Anolis sagrei: one gene and its partners. The protein of the gene in region 1 interacts with the protein of each later gene in a pairwise test. Links are inferred from orthologs where the notes say so. Each region holds a gene or a part of one and is shown on either strand. Other genes may lie near its edges. The genes, in order: ESRRG, NR0B1 and DEUP1.

Region 1 (7,536 bases):
CCCTCCCAAAAGATCTCAGACAGGCCCCCACTCTAGCCGTTTTCAGAAGGAATTTAAAAACTTGGCTGTTCCGTTGTGCCTTCTCAGACTAGGAATCCCCACCCCAAGTCCTAGTAGCACCTTAGCATAACTAATTGTCGCTGCACACTGCACTTTTAATCCCACGTGCCTCCTGCCATTTCAGCACTTTTAACCCTTGTACCCCAGTGCGCCGGCCGAACCAGTTTTAATAATGTCTTGATGTACTGCTATTGTGGTTATTTTGCTTATTGTTTGATTTGCTTAGTTATTGTGGTGTTATGCTATTTTGTTTATTGCTGATTTGCTTGCTATTGTGATGTTATGCTCTCTATTGTATTGTTGTTTTGAGGCTTCGGCCTGTGTAAACCGCATCGAGTCCTTCGGGAGATGCTAGCGGGGTACAAATAAAGTTAATAATAATAATAATAATAATTGTAGGAGTTGAAGTAAAAAAAACCTGGAGGGCCAAAGTTTGCCCATGCTTAGTCTAAATGCACTGGGGAACCTGCATGTGGGAGGAAATCCTCAGCATCTTGAGTGAAACATGGCTAGGATGGAACTGTTCATACTTCATTTCTCTTTCCCATTTCTAAAGATCTGAGCAGAGTACGGGTGGAATGGGGGCTTGCTTTCTGCTGAGCTTCTGCACTTCCAAGTTTTGTAAACATGCAAGGCTGCCAGTGTTTGTCTTTGCATCACTCTGAGAGAGAGAGAGAAACATGCTCGGGAGCTGGAAAGAAAAGGCTGTGCACTTTGACCATGTTTATGCTGAAAAGGGGCCGCATGCCTGTTTGCAAACCTATGAGGATGCCTAAAGGCAAACAGGATGATGCCTGTTAATATTGGTCTGTTTTATTTGCGTCTCCAAAAAAGGAATAAGCAAGAGAAACTTTGTTGATCAGTGTTACCAGTATTAACTATTATTATCTGAATGCAAGTTTTATACAGTTCAAAGGCGTTTCTCCAAAATAACACTGTGGGACCGTCCAGCAAACTGAACTGTTCGGCAGTGCAAAGGAGCCAAAGGTATGTACAATAATTTGGATATTGGTCCCAATGAAGTCATTTCCAAATAGAGATACATTGGATTGGGCTATATCCCATTTAAATCTTTAAATATGTTGGCTTGTATTTGGTACATAAATATTTTTTTAAAATCTCTGAAGTATCTCTTCAGAGCCGCTGGTGGTGCAGCGGGTTAAACCGCTGAGATGCCGAACTTGCTGACTGAAAGGTCAGCAGTTCAAATCTGGGAGTGGGAGTGAGCTACTGCTGTTAGCGCCAGCTTCTGCCAACCTAGCACTTTGAAAACATTCAAATGTGTGTAGATCAATAGGTACTGCTTCTGCGGGAAGGTAACAGCACTCCATGCAGTCATGCTGGCCACATGACCTTTGAGGCGTCTACGGACAACACCGGCTCTTCAGCTTAGAAATGGAGATGAGCACCACCACCCAGACTAGACTTAATGTCAAGGGGAACTTCTACCTTTACTATGGAAAATTATCTAACCCTTTACCCAAGGTTCAGATCCTTGTTCAGCCATGGAACTCACTGGGGCAAGTCACACTCTCATAACCTCAGAGGGAGGCCATGGCAAAATCCCCTCTAAATGAATCTTTTGAAGAAAATTATACTACAAGTTCATCTTAGGGTTGCTGTAAGTCAGAAATGACTTGAATGCAAACAACAGAAACAACCCACAAATACTCCACCTCTGGCTCCTGCATGTTAAAGCTACTGACCTGCTTCACTTAATACAAACACACTTAATACATGGATGCCAGTCTCCAGACTAACAACAGACATTTTTTGAAAAACTGCAAAAATAAAGTAGGGTACAACTTTATTATAAAGCAACCTATGTTTATTTCACCTATTTGTGAAATATAATAAGTGTATAATAATTATTATTTACATTATTATTATTATTATTATTATTATCATACCCTGTGCCACTGAAAATAGTGCTATATACAAGAATGCAATAATTATTACAATTTTTTTTAAAAACCACTTTTTCACTAATTCAGCAGTTTGTATGTTTTTTCTCCTGAGTGAAGCACTCCGTGATACAAATGGCATCATCGTTCAGATCAAAACAAATCAGTGCTCACCTTCAGAATGCATTAATGCCATTCACAAACGGGAATACAACAGCTGTCTCCAAGTCTATTTGAAAGCTTTCACCAAAGTAAGATGACAGAATGGAAGACAAATATATGTATGTGCAGTAGACATGTTTGTGCTTCTTTGCTTTCCTGAGCAACTTCTAGCATTTAATACATTTATCCCACGAACAGTTGCGAGTCTGCTGCTTCTATGCAGACAAATATGCACATTCTTAGGGATACAAATACACACCGCAGAAGTTGATCTCATCACCAGAGAAAACCAGGTGGCAAAAGCTTAATTACCAGTAACATTATTCTGCCTATACTGGTAAATGTAGCCTCTAATTAAGATGTAAATTTTAGTTCTGAATGGTGGATTAAAAGCAATCTGACATGCATCCTATCCAACCATTCTTCGGATTCACTAAACAAGCTGAGGGAAAAGATTAAGCATGTATTCTAATAGTGTCAGAATCTAACATACCTTCCTACAAATATTTCAATTAATAAGAACTGTTTGTAGCAGATGTGCTTAATTTCCATATAACTTATATATCATTTATATCCAAAGTCTGGATATAACAATATTGAAGCATATTCGTATACCCATTGAGTATACTCTTTGAATTCATCTATTCATCCATCTATCTTCGCACCTAATAAATCACATTCAATTGAAAGTTTCCTGAAAGCATACTTTTGTCCAGGCTTCCTAGTCTAAAGCCTAGATAACAATATAAACAGAGAATATATAATATTAAACTATTAGAAAATTATTTAAAAATTACCTCATATTGTCTTACGATCATTGTAGTTAGCTGTGGACATTCTTTGGACGACTGTCTGCTCTTCTGCTCTGCTTTCCCATCTATTACGCTGCTCCACTGAATTCCTGCTGTCCTCTTTCCTGTCCATGTCATCTTATGCTCCCCCCTCCAACACGACATTAACTATTGCTATCTTTCTACCAGGCACCTTGGAAGCATCTGTCTCTGCTGATGCTGCTTAGAAGACCACAGCCGTAGTATTATAATTTATGCATTCATGAAAGGCAGTTGGCCTTCCCCCCTGGGATTCAAAATGTCACCTCCAGTAGACCTGGGCTTGAAATTTCAACTGTGTTTTTGAACTTCTCATGCCAGTTTTTTAACAAAAGGAGAAACATCACAGTATTATTACCATCCTTGTTCATCTGAAAACTGCTTGTTACGTTTCATGTACTATTGAACAGGAAGACTCGTGAAAATATAAACAAGGCAAACCCACAATTTTCACATTATCAAAAATACAAGGAGTATTCTCTTTTGCTAACACACACACACACACATACCCTTGCTAAGTCAAATGCTGCTGTGTATAAACTCACCTCATGGAGTCGGCACAAAGCGATAGTGAAAATCAGAGCTAGGAGGGTGAGAGACGCTGTCCTGAGTATTTGCACCAGGCAGTGAGTGCTCTTGAACAGTGTCTACATCTTCACATCTCCTCTGCATATTTCTGCGGATAATTATCCCCATGCAGAGTACTGTATATCTTTAAGCACCCTCACACTTAAGTGCTACAGACAGCTCATTGCGTCCAAATTGCCCGATTCTGAAGCCACAGCTACCTCAAGGCTACTGAAGTAAAGATTCAATGGCACTTTGCAGAAGCAGTACAATTAATTGTGCCAAGTGCAGAAAAAGACCACGGAAGAAAAATACAAAGGGGGGCTTGGGTCTACTATGAGGTTACTAGGCACTTGCTCAGTTGTACGCCAAGTTATTTAAAAATCATCATGTCCTCTCCTGTGTTTATTTATTTATTTTTCTCCTGCCTTCCTCCCCATACAGGCACTCAAGGCAGCTAACAGCAAACGTGATACAATACAAATTAAAAACAAAAAATGGATGTAAATATGAATATAAAACTAACAAACAATTAAATCTTGGTGTCATGAAGCATGAACACTAAAATACGATTGCTGTTAAAACCATACACACACCCAAATCCCATTCATACCATCCCTAGCAGTCTGCCCCTCAAAAACATGTATCCCTTCAGTGCCAACAAATCCTATCACCTTTTCAATTGAGTTTGAATTAAGTGCTGCAATTTTTTGTAATTCACCTTGTATTGTCTGACGTTCATTGTAAAAGGACCAAAGTAATAGATTTGTTTAGATATACCATAGTACCTGGACAGAAAAATGCCAGAGAATACAGGATTTAAAGAATTGGGAAGCGAAGGGTTGACTTCCAAGGGCCTGTCTTTGCAAATACACCAATTCCAAACTCTCTTAATTGAAAACAAATATCCTAAGAAGCCATTAAGACTCATACATGTTTGCTGTTTGTCTTTTCTACTTTTCCTCAGAAAGCTCGGCACATCCCTGGCTCCAATAAAATTCCCTCCACACGCACAGAAAGTGACAAGCTCACTCTCTGAATTTCTTTGCACGCTTATGTACACTTGAGCAAATGGTAGTAGATTACTACTTTAGAGCCCATCTGCTGCTTTCATTTATATTTAGCAGAAATAATGACCACCCTGCCTAGATTTTAGACAAGGCGCAATGTTAGAATATGCTTTTAAATACAAGCTGCAGATAAGCATACATGTGCGTGCCTATGCATGTGTGAGAGTGCACATGCACACACTTCATCTCCCTTTATTTCTAGGTAAATATATGCAAAAGTTCTTTTTTCCAAGTAAAACATCATACCAATAATTTTATCCTATCATTGCTATATGATAGATCCACCACAACAGGTATTCTGCATCCGTAATTCTTCAGACAATTTCTATTTAAATTAGTACTAGGGATGTATTAGAAACTGATAAACTATACCATTCTGTAAAGCGACATTTTGCTTGCTGATTTAAATTCTCTTTTCAAGAACATCAGTAGACACTTACAAGTACTATCTTAGTTTTTTTTTCCCCTTTTCTTTTTCTAAAACTGATGTATAACCCATAGCGGACTCTTTTCCTAACACATGTTTCCTTAGAGAACCCCACGGTGTTACTGTCTTAGAAAACGAAGGCAAAGATGACTGAGGGAATTCAGTCACTCTGTTTAATTAATACAGGATTATTTCACTTTCATTTTGCGGAGATAATAATACGACTGGCGGAATGTCAGTAAAAATTAAATCATAAACTAGTGGAGTGCCAAGGGGAAAGCTTACTTTGGTTATGGAGTATCCCCTGTAGAAATCTTGAAAAATCTTCTACATATTTACACTAGTAAAATACCACATGCTGTTCCATCGGATAGTGAAAGATTTCGAGAATCTGCATGACATGTATCACAGAGCACATTTTTCAGATTATACATTAATAAGAGAGTTGAAGGTGTGTTGTTTCCTGAATGTTAAGTCACCAAATGCTAAATGATAAAGTACACTCAAGGTCAGCATTGCATTTTGGACAATCTCGGTCACTGATGTTATGATAATCGCATCTAAAATATTCGTACAGAAAGCACAAAAAGATTATTATGATAAACAACAGTACGAAAGAAAAGCAATTCATATTGCTTTCTTTCCCTCACAATAAATTGCTACTCTTTATTGGGACAATGAGGCCACGTATTTTGTTTTAGCCACTTTTTCTTCTAGTTCCCTACATAATATTTTCAAAGAGATTGAGAGAAATCTGTTTAATGTGAAAGAAGTTGTTTGGGTCTTTCTTTCTTTTTAAAAGCCACTTTGTGGAAAGGATTTTTTAAAAGCCAGTATAATCATCCACCCTAAAATCAAATTAGGATATCTCACCAACTATGGGACAAGATCAGATGGCTCTTTTCCTCACCTCCTGTCTCTCCCCAGCTTCCTACCTAACTGGAAGCTCAGGGCACTAAAAATAGAAAAGAAGATGGAGTGCAAATATTTCCCCAGTGAAAACACCAATAATCTTTACTGTGAGCTGACACGAATTGCTTGTTACACTGCCCTAGGATATCATGGCCTGAAGCGACAGCACTCACAGACACACAAGCGCGCACACACACACACATTCAAAGGCACTAAGCATCTCAAAAGCTAAAGTAATGTGCATTTGTGTAGGTGCATTTTCAGCAGACCTATGAAATCGGACGTCTGGTTGATACACCTGCCATACAAAACCCATCATTTGTAGCCTTCTAGGTTTTAGTTTCCTCTAAACACCATGGCCCATCTTTCTCTCCCTATCAATTCACTTTTCTCAGGCATTTTTTTTTTGTTATTAATGTTATTGCTATTATTACTGTGCAAGCATAAGCTGATCCACAGGGGAGCCTGTGCAATTTAACCCCTGAAGCGCTAATTTTTTTTTTGCACATGTGCAAAGGCACAGGTTTGTTGTTGCCTCTAGCAATATCCCAGCAAGACGAGTGATGGCGGTGTCATATCATCACATAGTGACTTAATCTATTGCGACATCCAGGGAATGGGCAACTGAAAAAGATTTACAGGACATGTTTTTTAACTGCATACAAACACATTATCCCCATTTTTCAGTAACCCAGCCACAGTGGGATCACACCAGAACAAATTTCACCCGCCTTCATCTTCCAGTTCCACATATTAAGCCCTGTGTCATCTAACCTGCTTTTTTGACCAAGAATGTAACTCTAATAAAAGCATTTTTGTAACATCTTACTTTTTTATTCTTTTCATGTCTCGTGTTTAACAAGCAGTCAGAGCGCGATGAATCACTGAATAGGGCAGCCGTAGTAGTGAGATTGTCCATGCACTGAAGGAAAGAGTCTTCCTTCTATATCCTTTTCAAACTGTCTGATATTACTGGTATGTTTAACAACAACAACAACAACAACAACTTTGTATACTGCCCTATCTCCCCAAAGGGACTCAGGACAGTTTCCAACAAAAATGGCAAACAGTCAATGGCAGAATACACTAACAAAGAGAAATAAATAATCCCTCAGATCCCAAAAGAAAATTCATAATGATAATAAAATTAAAATAATGACAGATAAACCAAAATTAAGAAATAACATAAGCAATCAACCACTGCATATCTAACATTAAAACATGATACAAATTCAAAAACAACTTAGAGGCAGCTCTTTTTTAAGGCATAAAGGATGTGGTTTTCAACTTTGAATACTTAGCTGCAACAAATATTGACAAAAAGAAAAATCACCTGTACTGTGCAATGGTAAAACTGACATATACAACCTTATCAAATGAAGGCAGAGAAGCATCTTCTCCCTGCTTCTCTGTGCTGCTGGCATGGAGTCCCCTGGAGCTACTTCTGGCGGGACTCTGGGGTTCCACTGCCCGCATGGAGCCCCAACGGAAGTACCCTTGCAACATGCTGACCCAACTAGTTCAAAAAATGCACTTGAGTCGAAGAGGAAGTGGGGGACAGCGGGGAAACGTGGGAAGGCAGAGGACAGACCCTGATGGTAGGG
Region 2 (8,060 bases), on another chromosome or scaffold:
ATTTACCTTATTTACACTCTGCCTTTCTCAACCCTGTAAGGGACTCAACGTGTCTTACATATATAGGCTCCAATTTAATGCCATGTAAAATATACATATATAATAAAATAAATGCATATATTAAAACAATAATTAAGAACATATCAAACCTTAAAAACACTTGATAAAATCACGTAATCAATCCTATGGAATTCTGGGAGTTGTAGTTTTACAAACCATCTCTTCCAAAGAATGCTGCTGTCTCAGCAAACTACAAATCCCAGGACCCCATTGAATCGAGCCATGGTAGCTAAAGCAGTGTCAAACTGCATTCATTCTACCATATGATACACTGGATAAGAAACCTCCAAGGACTCCAGCTCAACTCCACTCTTGCAAACTCAGAACCAGGGGAGACTTTTAATTGAATCAATCCACCTGTAACAAAGTCTTCCTACTGTTCTCCACTTGACCGAGCAGTATTGCCTTAGGTAAATCAATTAGCATCGAGCATTGATTCCGTGGCACTGAGCCATGGCAGATAAAGCAGGGTCAAGCTGCAGGAATAGCAGGACTTGCCCAGGAGCTGCCTAAGGAGCAAAAGAAAATGGTCAGATGGGGGGGGGGGGAGGAAAGGGAGGGAGAGGGGAAGAAGTAGAAAGGGAGAAAGAGCAAGGGAGGGGAGAGACAGAGAAAAGGAGTAGAGGGAAAATGTGTTGTTCAAGGCTTTCATGGCTGGAATCACTGGGTTGTTGTGAGTTTTCTGAGCGGTATGGCCATGTTCCAGAAGCATTCTCTCCTGATATTTCGCTCACATCTATGGCAAGCATCCTCAGAGGTTGTGAGATTTGTTGGGAACAAGACATGTGGGGTTCATACACCTGTGGAATAATGTCCAGGATGGGAGAACTTGTGTCTTTTTGAAGCAGGTGTGAATGCTGCAATTAATCACCTTGATTAGCACTGAAAAGCCTTGCAGCATCAAGGATTGGCTGCTTTTGGCCTGGGGAATCATTTGTTGGGAGGTGATTAGCTGGCCCTGGTTGTTTCTTGTCTGGAATTCTCCTGTTTTTGAGTGTTCCTCTTTATTTACTGTTGTGATTTTAAAGGATTTTTTAAAATGCTGGTAACCAGATCTTGTTCATCTTCATGCTTTCCTTCTTTCTGTTAAAATTGTCCACATGCTTTGCAATGCTAATCAAGGTGATCACTTGCAGCATGCACAGTTGCCTCCAACAGACAAGAGTTCTTTCTCCCGCCCTGGACATTATTCCACAGATATATAAACCCCACTTGCCTCGTTTCCAACAAACAATGCAACCTCTGAGGATGCCTGCCGTAGATGCGGGTGAAATGTCAGGAGAGAATGCTTCTGGAACATGGCCATACAGCCCAGAAAACTCACAGCAACCCAATAGAGAAATAGAAGGAAATATGAGAAGGGGAGAGGGATAAGAGAGAAGAGAGGAAGACGGGGAGAGGGAGAAAGAGCAATGGAGGGGAGAGAGGGAGAAAAGGAGTAGAGGGAAAGAGGAGAAGGAGAGGGAGAAGAGCGGAAAACTGGAGAGGGAAAAGGAGCAAGGGAGGGAAGAGAGGGAGAAAAGGGGAGAGGGAGATGAGGGGAAGGCGAAGAGAGGGAAAAAGAGTGATGGAGGGAAGGAGAAAAGGAGTAGAGGGAAAGATGAGAAGAAGTGGAGAGGAAGGAGAGGGGGAAATGAGGAGAGGGAGAAAGAGGGAGGGGAGAAAGGACGAAAAGGAATAGATGGAAAGATGAGAAGAAGGGGGGAAGAGGGAAAAGAGTTAGAGAGTGGAGGAAGGCAAAAAAAAGGCTAGAAGTAAAGATGAGAAGAAGGGAAGAGGGAGAAAAGGGGAAGGTGGGGAGAGGGAGAAAGAGCGAGGGAGAGGAGAGAGGGGGAACAGGAGTAGAGGGAAAGATGAGAAGAAGAGGAGAAGGAGAAGAGAGGAAGGTGGGAAGTGGGAGAAAGAGCAATGGAGGGGAGAGAGGAGTAGAGGTAAGGAAGAGAAGAAGGGGAGAGGGAGAGAGAGGGAGTGAGTGAGGGGACGGGAGAAGGGGAGAGAGGAAGGAGAAAGGGAGGGGGGGAAAGAGAGGGGGAAGAAGTAGGCGGAGAGGTTGGGGGAGAGAACCCTGGACCCTTCCCCAAAAGCGTGCCCCCAGGGCTGCCCCACTGACCCGGGTTGAAGAGCACGGTGCCCTTGAGGTAGGCGTACTCCTTGGTGCTGATGTCCAGGCTCCAGCACTTGGCCAGGAAGCCTTGGATGGCTTGGATCTCCCCCGCCGAGGGCAGCTGGGGGCAGCGGGGCTCTGGGTCCTGGGGCGGGAGCCGCTCTTCCTCCTCCTCGTCGTCGCCGTCGCCCTGGTGGCGGTGGTGGCGGGGCTGGGCTTGGCCGGGCTTCTCCTGGGGCTGTCCGGGGTGTTGGTGGGGGCGCGGCTGGGTGGTGAGGATGCGCTGGAGCATGCTGGGCCGGGCGCTCTCCACGGTCTCGAAGTGGACGCGGTCCTGGGCCAGGCCGAGGGCGAGGAGCGGCGCCCAGCAGCTGCGCACCAGGACCAGTTGCTCGTCGAGCGGCAGCTCCTGGAAGCAGGGCACGCTCTTGACGAAGCGCAGCGTCTTCACCAGCACCGCCGAGGCCGCCTTGCAGGCCGCCTGGGGGCTCCGCAGGGCCACGCGCCGCCCGGCCCCGCACGAGCAGCCCGCCGCCCCGGCCCCTGGCCTCGCGGGGAGCGGCAGCGGAGGGGCCGGCAGCGGAGGGGGGCCCGCCAGCGCCTCCCCGCCTTGGCCCGCCGCCTCCCCCTCGCCCTCCCCCTCTTCCTTCTGGTGCTGGCGGTGCTCCTGGCTCTTGAGGATGTTGTAGAGGATGCTGCCCTGGCGCCGGTGGTCCGTGCAGCAGCGGCAGCGGTCCAGGCACGCCATGGCCGGCAAAGAGCGGGAAAGCCGCCTCGCCCGCACGCCCGCACGCCCGCCCTCGGGGCTATTTATAGCGCGCAGGAGTTCAAAGGCGCAGACGCTGCCGACTGGCTGGAAGGAAGGGACGGGGAGGAGGAGAGAAAGAGAGAGAAAGAGAGGGAGGGAGGGAAGGAGGGAAGAAGGAGAAGAAGAAAGCCCCCCCCACCAGGACTCCACCCTCTCCCCCCCCTCCCCTCCTTCTCGGGAGAGGAGGGCGTGTTGTCGCCGTCCCTTTCCAAATGCCCTCCCGCTTCTTCCGCCCGACCGTCCCACGTCGCGCGCTTTCCGCGAAGGGCTGAACGGGAGGGAGACCCACGCCAAGTTCAAGCGGCCGGAAAGAAGGAAGGAAGCGCCCCCTCCGGCTCCCCGCCACACCAAGGCGCTTCCGCCCAACGCTGCCTTCCGTGTCGGCGCGGAGTTGGCGCTTCTTCCAAGGCTTCCTTTGCAGCCTTTCCCTCGGTTGGATGGGGTGGGCAGGCGGGAAACGAACCCCTTTCTCATCTATATAAACAACAATGTAATGTTCGTTTGTGGGATTAACAAAACTCAAACACCACTGGACGAATTGACAAAAAAAATGATTTTCTCATTTGAGAGTTGTAGTTGTTGGTTTGGTGGGCATTGACCTTGAGTTTGGGTGTTATAGTTTACCTACATCCAGAGAGCACTGTGGACTCAAACAATGATGGATCTGGACCAAACTTGGCACGAATACTCCATATGCCCAAATATGAACACAGATGGAGTTTGGAGAAAATAGACCTTGACATTTGAGAGTCGTAGCTGCTGGGATTTATAGTTCACCTACAATCAAAGAGCATTCTGAACTGCACCAGCGACAGAATTGAACCAGTCTCTCCACACAGAATCCCCATGACCAACAGAAAATACTGTGTTTTCTGATGGTTTTGGTAACCTCTCTGGCACCCCTTTATGACCTCTGCAAGGATCCCACCCCCCAGGTTGAGAAATGCTGCCTTAAGGCCATCCAGCCCAACTCCCTTCACCAGGGCAAGAAAACATAAAGCCCTCTTGACAAAGAGCCATCCAGCCATAGATATAGATAGATAGATAGATACAATTCACACACACACACACATATTTGTATATGACAGATATAGTATCATAGATTTGACAGGGACCCCTAAAGAAGGACAATTATATGTTGCATGTTCCAGAGTAGGCAAACCAGACAATCTCTACATCAACACTGACAAAGAAACAAGAATAAATACTGTTTACCCACAAGCATAAAGAAATTACACATATTAGAAACCAACACTTTCTCGTTACTTTATTTTCCAGATCACCAAACTGGGCCACAGCAATGCCTGGCAGGGGATGGCTAGTGTGTGTGTGTGTGCATGTGGACAATTTCAACAGAAAGAAGGAAACCATGAAAATGGACAGAATCTGGCAACCAGTACAGTAGAGTCTTGCTTATTCAACATAAGCAGGCCAGCAGAATATTGGATAAGCGAAAATGTTGAATAATAAGGAGGGATTAAGGGAAAGCCTATTAAACATCAAATTACGTTATGGTTTTACAAATTAAGCACCAAAACATCATGTTTTACAACAAATTGGCAGAAAAAGCAGTTCAGTACACGGTAATGTTATGTAAACATCACTGTATTTATGAATTTAGCACCAAAACATCGTAATGTATTGAAACAGCTGTGGATCCAGGCGGAAGGCAAACTGCGTTGAATAATACGGAACCTTGGATGAGTGAAGGTTGGATAAGCGAAACTCTACTGTATTAAGAAACTCTAAAATCAGAACAGTAAATAAAGAACACTAAAAAAAACCAGGGGATTCCAGACAAGAATCAATCAGGACCAGCTAACATCACCAAACAAAGAATTCCTCCAGGCAGCAATCAGCCAGGCAAAGCTACTAAATGCTAATCAAGGTGGCCAATTGCAACATTCACACTTGCCTCAAGCAGACAAGAGTTCTTTCTTCTGCCCTGGACATTCCACAGGTGTATAAACCCCACTTGTCTAGACCCCTCAACTTCTGAGATTGGCTACTATAGATGTGAGCAAAACATCAGGAGAGAATGCTTCTGGAACATGGCTATACAGACTGGAAAACTCATAGCAACCCAGCCAGCAGGCTGTTAGGAATTGTGGGAGTTCTAGTCCAAAACACCTGGAGGACTGGACTTTGTCCATGCCTGTATTACATTACACCCAAGCAGTGTCCCTTCTCCGGAATAATAATAATAATAATAATAATAATAATAAGAAGAAGAAGAAGAAGAAGAAGAAGAAGAAGAAGAAGAACAGCAGTAGCAGTAGCAATAACAATAATTTATTTATAACCCACCCTATCTTCCCAATGGGGACTCAAGGCAGTTTCCAGAAGAAAACCAGCAAACATTCCATGCCGAAAGTGATCAACAAAACAAATCAAAACAACCAATAAATAGCATCAGTATAAACTTAATATATAAACTTAAAGGACAACTTGTTGTCCAATGCTTTCATGGCTGGAATCACTGGGTTGTTGTGAGTTTTCCAGTCTGTATGGCCGTTTTCCAGGAGCATTCTCTCCTGATGTTTCACCCACATCTATGGCAGGCATCCTCAGAGGTTGCGAGGTCTGTTGGAAACTAGGCAAGTGAGGTTTCTGTATCTATTTCTCCCACCCTGGATATTCCACAGATATATAAACCCCACTTGCCTTGTTTACAAGAGACCTCACACCTCTGAGGATGCCTGCCATAGATGTGGGCGAAACATCGGGAGAGAATGCTTCTGGAACATGGCCTTACAGCCGGGAAAATTCACAGCAACCCTTAAATGACAACCAAAGGCTAGATAGAGACACACAAACCTCATTATGCACATTTACATCAAAAGGATCTAAATCATTAAAGTGCAATTGAAAGTATAAAATGATAAGTGACGTTATATAAAATAATGTGATGATGATATCAACAGTCTAACAGCGCTAAAGTGCATTGCCAGAGTCTGAAGAAGAATTGCAAAATAGTCCCAAATTTTCCATAAGGAGACCTAAACAAGTTACATTTTTGCTTTCTCGTGGTGCAATGTATACTAATATTACTACTACTAATATTAACTTTATTTATATCTCCCCAAATGGACATGCAGCAGTTTGCAACAGATATTGGCAAACATTCAGTGCTGTAAGAAGCTGAAAAAAGACAAAAAATAACCAACTTCCCAAATCCCAAAAGCAAATCCACATCTACATCAAAAATAATAACACATTATCAAAAATTAGACAGTAAACATAATAAATGTACAATTGTACTAAAATATGATATACAGTTACCATCAGACAACATGTCTAGGGGTGGGTGAAAGGATAAACAAATGGGTATGCTTAGCCTTGTTTCCCATCTTTGAAGTAACTTATTAAGCATAAGCAAGTATTCCAAAATTAGGGGGGGGGGATCCTAAATGCACAACACTTGTGTTCCCAAACATTTCAGATAAAGAATGTTTAGTGTGTACCCACTATTTCATTGATTTGAATCTGCATGTGTAGAGAAAAGATATATTTTAAGCAGAAATCCAAGTAATCAGAGTATGAAGAGCAAGAGGTGGTGCAGGATATTCCCTAACCAGGAACATAACATATTCAGTATTTCTTTCTCTTGTTATTTATTATTTGCGAGCTTTTGCTTTTTTCTGTGTTGTAAAATGGGCAACAAATGAAAGCACCCAATACACATACACCACTGATGCAGGAGACAGTTTTTGATATGTTTTTCTTTCAGACAGCAGTGAAATTGAACCATCACAATTGTACAATATTTAGTACCAGTTTATCCTTATGAAAAGGAATAACAATGTTATTTTCATTTAACCAGGTCTTTGATCAAAATGGTAACTCTGTTTCACATCTACTTTCTTGATTTACACTTTAATTGAGTGTCTCCAGAAGTCATGGAAAGACATGTTTCAATAAGAATCCATTCTTGCTTTCCAGTTGCTCTCACTTCCAATCATGGTGGCTAAATAAACCTAATGTCTGAATGTGACAAAAGTTGACACTCAGTCATGTGATCCATGAGCGAGACAGAAAAACAAACCCTAGAAGAAAACCAACATTTCTCTGGTTTGTAGGAAGAGACCAAGCTAAGTAGTGCTTGAGTGCTTCCATTGGGAGGAGCTGTCCAAGGTACTGAACACTATCCCCAAAACAGGGTCAACATTTTGAACAGTTCCTTTAAAATTTTGGCCATAATCTGGAGCAAATTATTCTTGTTTCTTGTTTCTTTTCCTACAAGGCGTGTTTCTTTTCCTACAAGCCTAAGAAGGAATCCATGTTTTGTTGTGAATGGATTTAGTGCCAACACATGAATCAGACATTATATTTGCTCAAAATTCTGCAAAACAAAGTCTCGTCTCACAATTGTACATCACTACAACTACTTTTTATTCCTCACTAGTGTAAACAGCCATAGCCGGCACTGTCCAGGTGTCATTGGGACCTCTGCTTGCCTACTTTTCCCCTTCTCCAGCTTTGAGAGGGCCTATCTCACAATGGCAACATGAGGTTTTAGCTATGAAGTTTGCTAAAAAGACAGACATGCAGAGAAGTCCAGCAGATGTGGCACTTTCCAGTTGTGAACTCTGCTAAAGGAGACATCGGGTCCTTCTACACAGGGACATAATGCAGCTCAGATCTAGCATGGAAAATGCCAGTTCTGTCACACTGAGGCCACACATGGGGGTCTTGAGTTGTCTTGGTAGTTGTCTTTGGTATGGCTGGCCAGATAGCCAACCATACCAAAGTCAGGCTCCACCCACCTGCACTCTCTCCAGCTCTCCCTGGGTTCCTTTGGCTTGAGTTTAGAACCAGAAAAAAGGCTGCTACCATGCAGTAGGCATTTTACAAACTTGTATAGGGGAAAAATAGGGGTGCGTAGGGCAAGAAAGGCTGCCATCTCACCCTTTGACTGCCTTAACCCAGGGAGCATAGGACTCAGGATGACTGTTCCCACTACCCCAATACGAGTGAAGATATAAATCCTGGAGCAGGATTGGGATCTTTCCCCATTTTTTTAAAATCCAGGGTTCAGCCTCTTTAAGCGGCTTACCACTTAAATCTCAGACTGTATGTGTAGTCGAG
Region 3 (7,891 bases), on another chromosome or scaffold:
TATTTCCTGGAGGATGGACTGGTTGGATCTTCTCGCAGTCCAAGGCACTCTCAGCACTTTCCTCCAACACCACAGCTCAAAAGCATCGATCTTCCTTCGCTCAGCCTTCCCTAAGGTCCAGCTCTCACATCCGTAGGTGACTACAGGGAATACCATGGCTTTGACTAGGCGGATCTTTGTTGCCAGTCTGATGTCTCTACTCTTCACTATTTTATCGAGACTGGACATTGCTCTCCTCCCAAGAAGTAAGCGTCTTCTGATTTCCTGGCTACAGTCTGCATCTGCAGTAATCTTTGTACCTAGAAATACAAAGTCTGTCACGGCCTCCACGGTTTCTCCCTCTATTTTCCAGTTGTCAATCATTCTTGTTGCCATAATCTTGGTTTTTTTGACGTTTAGCTGCAACCCGGCTTTTGCGCTTTCCTCTTTCACCTTGATTAGAAGCTCCTCAGCTCTTCCTCGCTTTCGGCCATCAGAGTGGTGTCATCTGCATATCTGAGGTTGTTAATGTTTCTTCCAGCAATTTTCACCCCAGCTTTGCATTCATCCAGCCCCGCACATCGCATGATGTGTTCTGCATACAAGTTAAAAAGGTTGGGTGAGAGGATGCAGCCTTGCCGTACGCCTTTCCCAATCTTGAACCAGTCTGTTGTTCCGTGGTCAGTTCTGACTGTTGCTACTTGGTCCTTGTACAGATTCCTCAGGAGAGAGACAAGGTGGCTTGGGATGCCCATCCCACTAAGAACTTGCCACAATTTATTATGATCCACACAGTCAAAGGCTTTAGAATAGTCAATGAAGCAGAAGTAGATGTTTTTCTGAAACTCCCTGCCTTTCTCCATTATCCAGCGGATATTGGCAATTTGGTCTCTCGTTCCTCTGCCTTTTCTAAACCCAACTTGAACATCTGGCAACTCTCGCTCCACGTATTGCTGGAGTCTTCCTTGCAGGATCTTGAGCATTACCTTACTGGCATGAGAAATAAGGGCCACTGTACGGAAGTTTGAAATAGTATAATAATAGTATACTAATAATAATAATAATAATAATAGGAAAATGTGAATGTCTCTTGGTACAGTTTGAGGAGCTTTTCCTTCAGCCCTCTCCTTTGTTAACATCACCAAGAGAAAGAAAGTAGGAAAAGAGTGCCTCTGAGCATAAAAAGAAAACTTTTCTTCACTGCTTATAAGAGGTCAATGAGAAAATGAAATAATTTTGTTATGGTGTCAGACCCGAATCAATGAGAAAGGAAGTGGAAAACGCGAATGCCTCTTCACACAGGCTGTGGGACCTTTCCTTCAGTTCCCTACCATAATGGGAGAGGGGAAAATATAAAAATAGGCCTTATCTACACTGCCACATATAATCCGGTTTCATAGGCCCCTTCCACACAGCTGTATAAAATCCCACATTATCTGCACTGAACTGAGTTATATGGCAGTATGGACTCAGATAAGCCAGTTCAAAGCAGATATTGTGGATTATCTACCTTGGTATTCTGGGTTATATGGCTGCGTGGAAGGGCCGTCAGTCGAGATTATTTGCTTTGAACTGGATTACATCGTAATGTAGACTCATATAATCCAAACTGGGTCTGCACTGCTATATAATCCAGTTACTCAATTCCAGATGTCTTGCTTTGAACTGGATTACATGGCAATATAGTGTCATATAACTCAGTTCAAAGCAGATAATGTGGATTCAGAAACTGGATTTGATGGCAGTGTAGATTAAGCGTCAACAAGAAGGGACGAGAGAAGAGTGAGGCCCCTTCTACACTGCCATATAACCCAGATTATAAAAGCAGATAATCCACATTATCTGCTTTGAATAGGATTATATGAGGCCCCTTCTACACTGCAATTACATAATTCATAGAATCTGCTTGGAGTGCCTTGGACTGCGAGAAGATCCAACCAGTCCATCCTCCAGGAAATAAAGCCCGACTGCTCATTGGAGGGAAAGATACTAGAGACAAAGTTGAAGTACTTTGGCCACATCATGAGGAGACAGGAAAGCCTAGAGAAGACAATTATGCTGGGGAAAGTGGAAGGCAAAAGGAAGAGGGGCCGACCAAGGGCAAGATGGATGGATGGTATCCTTGAAGTGACTGGACTGACCTTGAAGGAGCTGGGGGTGGTGACGGCCGACAGGGAGCTCTGGCGTGGGCTGGTCCGTGAGGTCACGAAGAGTCAGAGACGACTGAACAAATGAACAACAGAATCTGCTTTGAACTGGATTATATGGCAGTCTAGAGTCAGATAATCCTGTCCAAATCAGTTGGTGTGGATTATCCGATTTGATAATCTGGGTTATAGGGCAGTGTAGAAGAGACCTGAGTCTACACTGCCATATAATCCAGTTCAAATCAGATAATCCGGATTAGATATGGCAGTGCAGATCCAGCCTCATAAAATCCATGTTATCTGCTTTGAACTGGTTTATGTGGCAGCGTAGGGTCATATAATCCAGTTCAAAATAGACACTGGATTATCTGCTTTGATAATCTGGGGACCCTTCCACACAGCCCTGTATCCCAGGTAGGAAATCCCACATTATCTGAGTGTGGACTTGGGGCCCCTTCTACATTGCCATATAAAATCCAGAAATCTGCATTGAACTGGATTATGTGACAGCATAGTGTCATATAATCCAGTCCAAAGCAGATAATGTGGATTCAGAAACTGGATTTGATGGCAATGTAGATTAATCTGGTTCAAAGCAGATATTGTGGGATTTTCTGCCTGGATATTCTGGGATAGAGGGCTGTGTGGAAGGGCCCTCCCTGGGTTATAGGGCAGTGTAGAGGGGGCTTTCTTTCAGTAGTCTGTTGCAACTGGGAAACAGACAGGCAAAGAGTGCCTCTGAGCATAGGAAGGGATTCTTTGGAGCAGAGAAGGGGGGAAGGTGGGTTACCTGGCTGGGCTTCGAGGAAGGGCCTCTCTTCCCCGCCCTGTGGCCCTTCCGTGGGCTCCCTGCGGCTCTGCTCTTTCCCCACCGTGGGGCAAGGGGCCTCTCCCCTCCCTCCCTGCCTCCCTCCTCCCTCCCTGCTGCCCTTTGCTTGCTTCCCGCCGCCGAGCCCGCCTTTCCCACGGCGGCAATTCGGGGCGGGGCTTACAGGCGTCTCCCGTTGCCACGGCAACGCTGAGGCCTAGCTGGCAAAGCCTAGCAGGCAACTCTCCACTCATTGGCATGGCAGACCACCACTACAGCCCTCCCTCCAGGTGTTTTGGACTTCAACAGCCATTTGGGAATTGTGGGAGTTGAAGTTCAAAGCACCTGGAGGGCCCAAAGGAGTCCATGCCTAACTGTACACACAAGCACTGACTTTTCCCCACCTGCTTTCATAGAATCATAGAATCATAGACTCAAAGACTTGGAAGAGACCTCATGGGCCATCCAGTCCAACCCCCTGCCAAGAAGCAGGAATGTTGCATTCAAATCATCCCTGACAGATGGCCATCCAACCTCTGTTTAAAAGCTTCCAAAGAAGGAGCCTCCACCTCGCTCCGGGGCAGAGAGTTCCACTGCTGAACGGCTCTCACAGTCAGGAAGTTCTTCCTCATGTTCAGATGGAATCTCCTCTCTTGTAGTTTGAAGCCATTGTTCCGCGTCCTAGTCTCCAAGGAAGCAGAAAACAAGCTTGCTCCCTCCTCCCTGTGGCTTCCTTTCACATATTTATACATGGCTATCATATCTCCTCTCAGCCTTCTCTTCTTCAGGCTAAACATGCCCAGCTCCTTAAGGCGTTCCTCATAGGGCTTGTTCTCCAGACCCTTGATCATTTTAGTCGCCCTCCTCTGGACACATTCCAGCTTGTCAACATCTCTCTTCAATTGTGGTGCCCAGAATTGGACACAATATTCCAGGTGTGGTCTAACCAAAGCGGAATAGAGGGGTAGCATTACTTCCCTGGATCTAGACACTATACTCCTATTGATGCAGGCCAAAATCCCATTGGCTTTTTTTGCCGCCACATCACATTGTTGGCTCATGTTTAACTTGTTGTCCATGAGGACTCCAAGATCTTTTTCACACGTACTGCTCTCAAGCCAGGCATTCTCCATTCTGTATCTGTACACACAAGCACTGACATTTCCCCACCTGCTTTCTCGCAAGCCTATTAAGGGCCCTTCCACACAGCCCTATATCCCAGAATATAAAGGCAGAAAGACTGTCGCAACTCAGGGTAGTTTCTTCCTTGCTCAAGACACCACCACACACCAAGGCTGTAGGTTTATTGAGAAAAAGCAAAATCAAAACAGAGAAATAAGGACGCAAAAGTTCAATAGGCAAAACAGAGTCTTAAATGCAAAGGCAAAGTTTCCAAGATTCAAAGGTAAATAACATGAAGCATAATCCCTTAGCAATGGTCAAACAAAAGTCCATGGTACACAAATGAAATCAGGATCAAAATCCAAGTCTCAAAAAAGCCAGAAGCGTTCCGCAAAAGCCAAGGTAATTCCACAGAAGTTAACAGGGAAGGAGCAACATTGGACTGACAGAAAATGCCTGTCGGCTACACCATTAAATAAGTTTTCCTGACATGAAAGCATTGCGTTGACCTTTGGCTGCATACTTGCTGGCAAGATGAGTGCTTCTGCGAACTCTTAATGGTAAACGATCCTGTCTACTCATTAATTCACTATTATCTTCAAGGCTGGGCAACTCCTTATCTTGGCCCAGCTGGGTCTGATCACCCTGGGAACCAAAAGGAGTCAAAGGAGTCTCCACCTGCAGATGTGGAGTTTCACTGTCTTTCTCTAACGGCACATTCCTTTCTCCAGAGAACAGACTTGCTGTTTCTTCTTCAGAAGCCACACTATTAGCCCCGTCTGGAACATGTACAGAAATCTGAAACCCATCAGCCTCCTCGTCATCCTGCAGAAAGTCAGGCTCAGAAGGCCCAGCAGGCCCAGCATAAGGCCCAGACAGTTCAGACTCAGACTGAGCCACAACAAAGACGCAGACTGTGGACAGGAAAACAGAAGACGTTTACTTCTCAGGAGGAGAGCAATGACCAATCTCGATAAAATAGTGAAGAGTAAAGACAACACACTAGCAACGAAGATCTGCATAGTCAAAGCAATGGTATTCTCCATAGTAACCAATGGATATGCAGATGACACCACTTTGATGGCTGAAAGCAAGGAGGAACTGAGGAGCCTTCTAATCAAGGTGAAAGAAGAATGCGCAAAATTTGGGTTGCAGTTAAACATTTAAAAAACCAAGATTATGACAACAAGAATGATTGACAACTGGCAATTAGAGGGATAAAACGTCAAGGCCGTGACAAACTTTGTATTTCTAGGTGCAAAGATTACTGCAAACGGAGACTGCAGCCAGGAAATCAGGAGAAGCTTACTTCTTGGGAGGAGAGCAATGACCAATCTTGATAAAATAGTGAAGAGTAAAGACATCACACTGGCAACAAAGATCTGCATAGTTAAACCAATGGTATTCCCCATAGTCACCTACGGATGTGAGAGCTGGACTATAGGGAAGGCTGAGCAAAGGAAGATAGACGCTTCTGAACTGTGGTGTTGGAGGTAAATTCTGAGAGGATTTATAGTTCACCTACAATCAAAGAGCATTCTGAACAGCACCAACAATAGAACTGGGCCAAACTTGCCACACATAAACCCCATGACCAACAGAAAATACTGTGTTTTCTTATTGTCTTTGATGACCCCTTTGACACCCCCTCGCAACCCCCACAGGGGTCTTGGACCCCAGGTTGAGAAACGCTGCCCTAAATGGTTCCGGCCCAGCTTACCTGTTTGAACGTATCTCCCCCTATGAACCATCTTGGAGACTGAGATCATCTGGAGAGACCCTGCTCTCAGTCCCGCCTCCTTCGTAGGTGCTGTGCTGTTGCGCCTGGGGGCTATAATTCTTAATGAAGGAGGCATGGACGTGGCATCTTTCCCCAGGGGATTGCTTCTTGCCCTCCTATAAGAAACTGGAACTTTCAAAAACCCAAAACGCTGTAAATAACTCAAAATAAGTTTTATTGATCACAGAGTTGTTTCTTTAAAGCAATGAGCTGGAAACTTCAGAGGGTTGAAGGAAAATATATGTTACAATCTCAGTTAGTCTTGGGTCCAAGGTGTTTGAAGCTGAGAAGCCTTTCCAAGTTTCCTCTTTCCTCAATGGCTGTGAATGCCGGAGCAAACCACAACCCCAGTTCAAATGGCCTATGTTTGAAGACTCAGGATCTTCCTTTGGTGCCAAAAGAACCGGTTTGAAGGCGCTTGAGACTTCCAACGTCATTCAGGTTGGTCTGAACATGAATCACAAATCTCAAGGATAAAAAACCTCAGAACTGGTGCTGAGAGGTAATTTAAATCAGGGTCTTTTAGAGACAAGTCTCATACTCACGTCCATCTGGTAGAAACTCTGATGGCAGAATGAAAAGAAAGGAAGCACTCCCCTCCTGCAGGAAGAGGTGGAGCCATACAGTACTGATTGATAGCCATAAGTAACCAATACATGTTGTTGTTCATTTGTTCAGTCGTCTCCGACTTTTCGTGACCTCATGGACCAGGCCACGCCAGAGCTCTCTGTCGGCCGTCACCACCCCAGCTCCTTCAAGGTCAGTCCAGTCACTTCAAGGATGCCATCCATTCATCTTGCCCTTGGTCCATACAACTATACATAAGCAGGGTAAAAGGGGAGGATAAGCATGATACAACAGTTTAAATCTTGCAACTAACAGTTAAAATTAAAATTTAAAGCACATGGTAATAACAAACTTCACATTGGTTCATATGTGAGGTTTTGCTCCTTCATTGACACATCAAGAAATTATTGCGCAGTGAGGAAAACGGCAAACATATTTCGGTGGGCAAAACAGGATGAGATTATTTGACTTTTAGCCCCGTTTTTTTACCCAAAGACCACGCCAGACCTCATTATAACTCCCCCCACCACCCGCCAAGCCAATATCATCTTGGCACAATGCAGAAAAGGTCCTGTTCTCGATAAAAAGTGGAGCTTTGTTGAGGCAAAGCTCTCACCTGCATTCATTATCGAAAGATGTTTCAAGGAAATGCTCCTAAGCCCCTGTGGCTCAGGAATTATTCTGGCCAATGAAACAGAGGGCAGAGATAAGAAAAGTCGAAACCGCACCGCAGAAAGGGCCTACTGGGAATTCTTTTCAGCCGTGTAGATGAAAGCCTGAGAGGGAGAGAAATCTCACTTTTGAAGAAGAAAACATTTGCCTGTGTCATAAAAGCACAAAACTTGGTGGAAAAGCAGGCACAAAATGTTTCCCTTTTTTTTAAAAAAATGATGACCTGAGAATATTCTTTTCCGCTCTCTGTGGGTGGTTAATAGCTATCATCCCTCCTTCAGGATGCAAGGAGCCGGCATTAGGGCTTTACAGCTGAGACCTGCATAAAAATATTCTCTCTTGGGGCTTTCTCCTAGGAATGCGTTTGACTTTTGGGGTCTAGCCAGCTTCTGTAGTGTTTTTCGGGCTTCATGGAGGGGATAAGGTTCGAGTAGAGGAGGGAGAAGGCAGGCTTTCTTCTTGCCACTTCTGCAAATGATTCACTGCTGTGCTAAAGTAACAGGAGATGTGAGATACTCCAAAGCAGGGATGGAGAATCTTTTAAATCTCACAGCATCACTGCATTGGAGAGAGTCCAATCCTATTATCTAGGCTTGGGTGGTTTCATTCGTTAATTTCGTAATTCGGTATTAATTCATAGAATCATAGAATCAAAGAGTTGGAAGAGACCTCATGGGCCATCCAGTCCAACCCCCTGCCAAGAAGCAGGAATATTGCATTCAAATCACCCCTGACAGATGGCCATCCAGCCTCTGCTTAAAAGCATCCAAAGAAGGAGCCTCCACCACACTCCGGGGCAAAGAGTTCCACTGCTGA

Evidence for each region.
Region 2: the proteins of ESRRG (region 1) and NR0B1 interact in binary tests that used the Homo sapiens proteins (3 or more experiments, as listed by UniProt). The link is inferred for Anolis sagrei from reciprocal best matches to the Homo sapiens genes ESRRG and NR0B1.
Region 3: the proteins of ESRRG (region 1) and DEUP1 interact in binary tests that used the Homo sapiens proteins (3 or more experiments, as listed by UniProt). The two-hybrid records come from large-scale screens. The link is inferred for Anolis sagrei from reciprocal best matches to the Homo sapiens genes ESRRG and DEUP1.

Annotation. Positions count from the first base shown.
Region 1 is NC_090021.1:35,092,514-35,100,049, forward strand, and holds the start of ESRRG (estrogen-related receptor gamma), read right to left. Parts: upstream 3,084-7,536; 5' UTR 3,083-3,083; coding exon 2,924-3,082; intron 2,216-2,923; exon of another isoform or gene 2,085-2,215; intron 1,048-2,084; exon of another isoform or gene 960-1,047; intron 1-959. UniProt on the Homo sapiens protein: Orphan receptor that acts as a transcription activator in the absence of bound ligand. Binds specifically to an estrogen response element and activates reporter genes controlled by estrogen response elements.
Region 2 is NC_090023.1:83,341,107-83,349,166, reverse strand, and holds the start of NR0B1 (nuclear receptor subfamily 0 group B member 1), read right to left. Parts: upstream 3,084-8,060; 5' UTR 2,913-3,083; coding exon 2,171-2,912; intron 1-2,170. UniProt on the Homo sapiens protein: Nuclear receptor that lacks a DNA-binding domain and acts as a corepressor that inhibits the transcriptional activity of other nuclear receptors through heterodimeric interactions.
Region 3 is NC_090023.1:19,127,250-19,135,140, reverse strand, and holds the start of DEUP1 (deuterosome assembly protein 1), read right to left. Parts: upstream 3,015-7,891; 5' UTR 2,917-3,014; intron 1-2,916. UniProt on the Homo sapiens protein: Key structural component of the deuterosome, a structure that promotes de novo centriole amplification in multiciliated cells.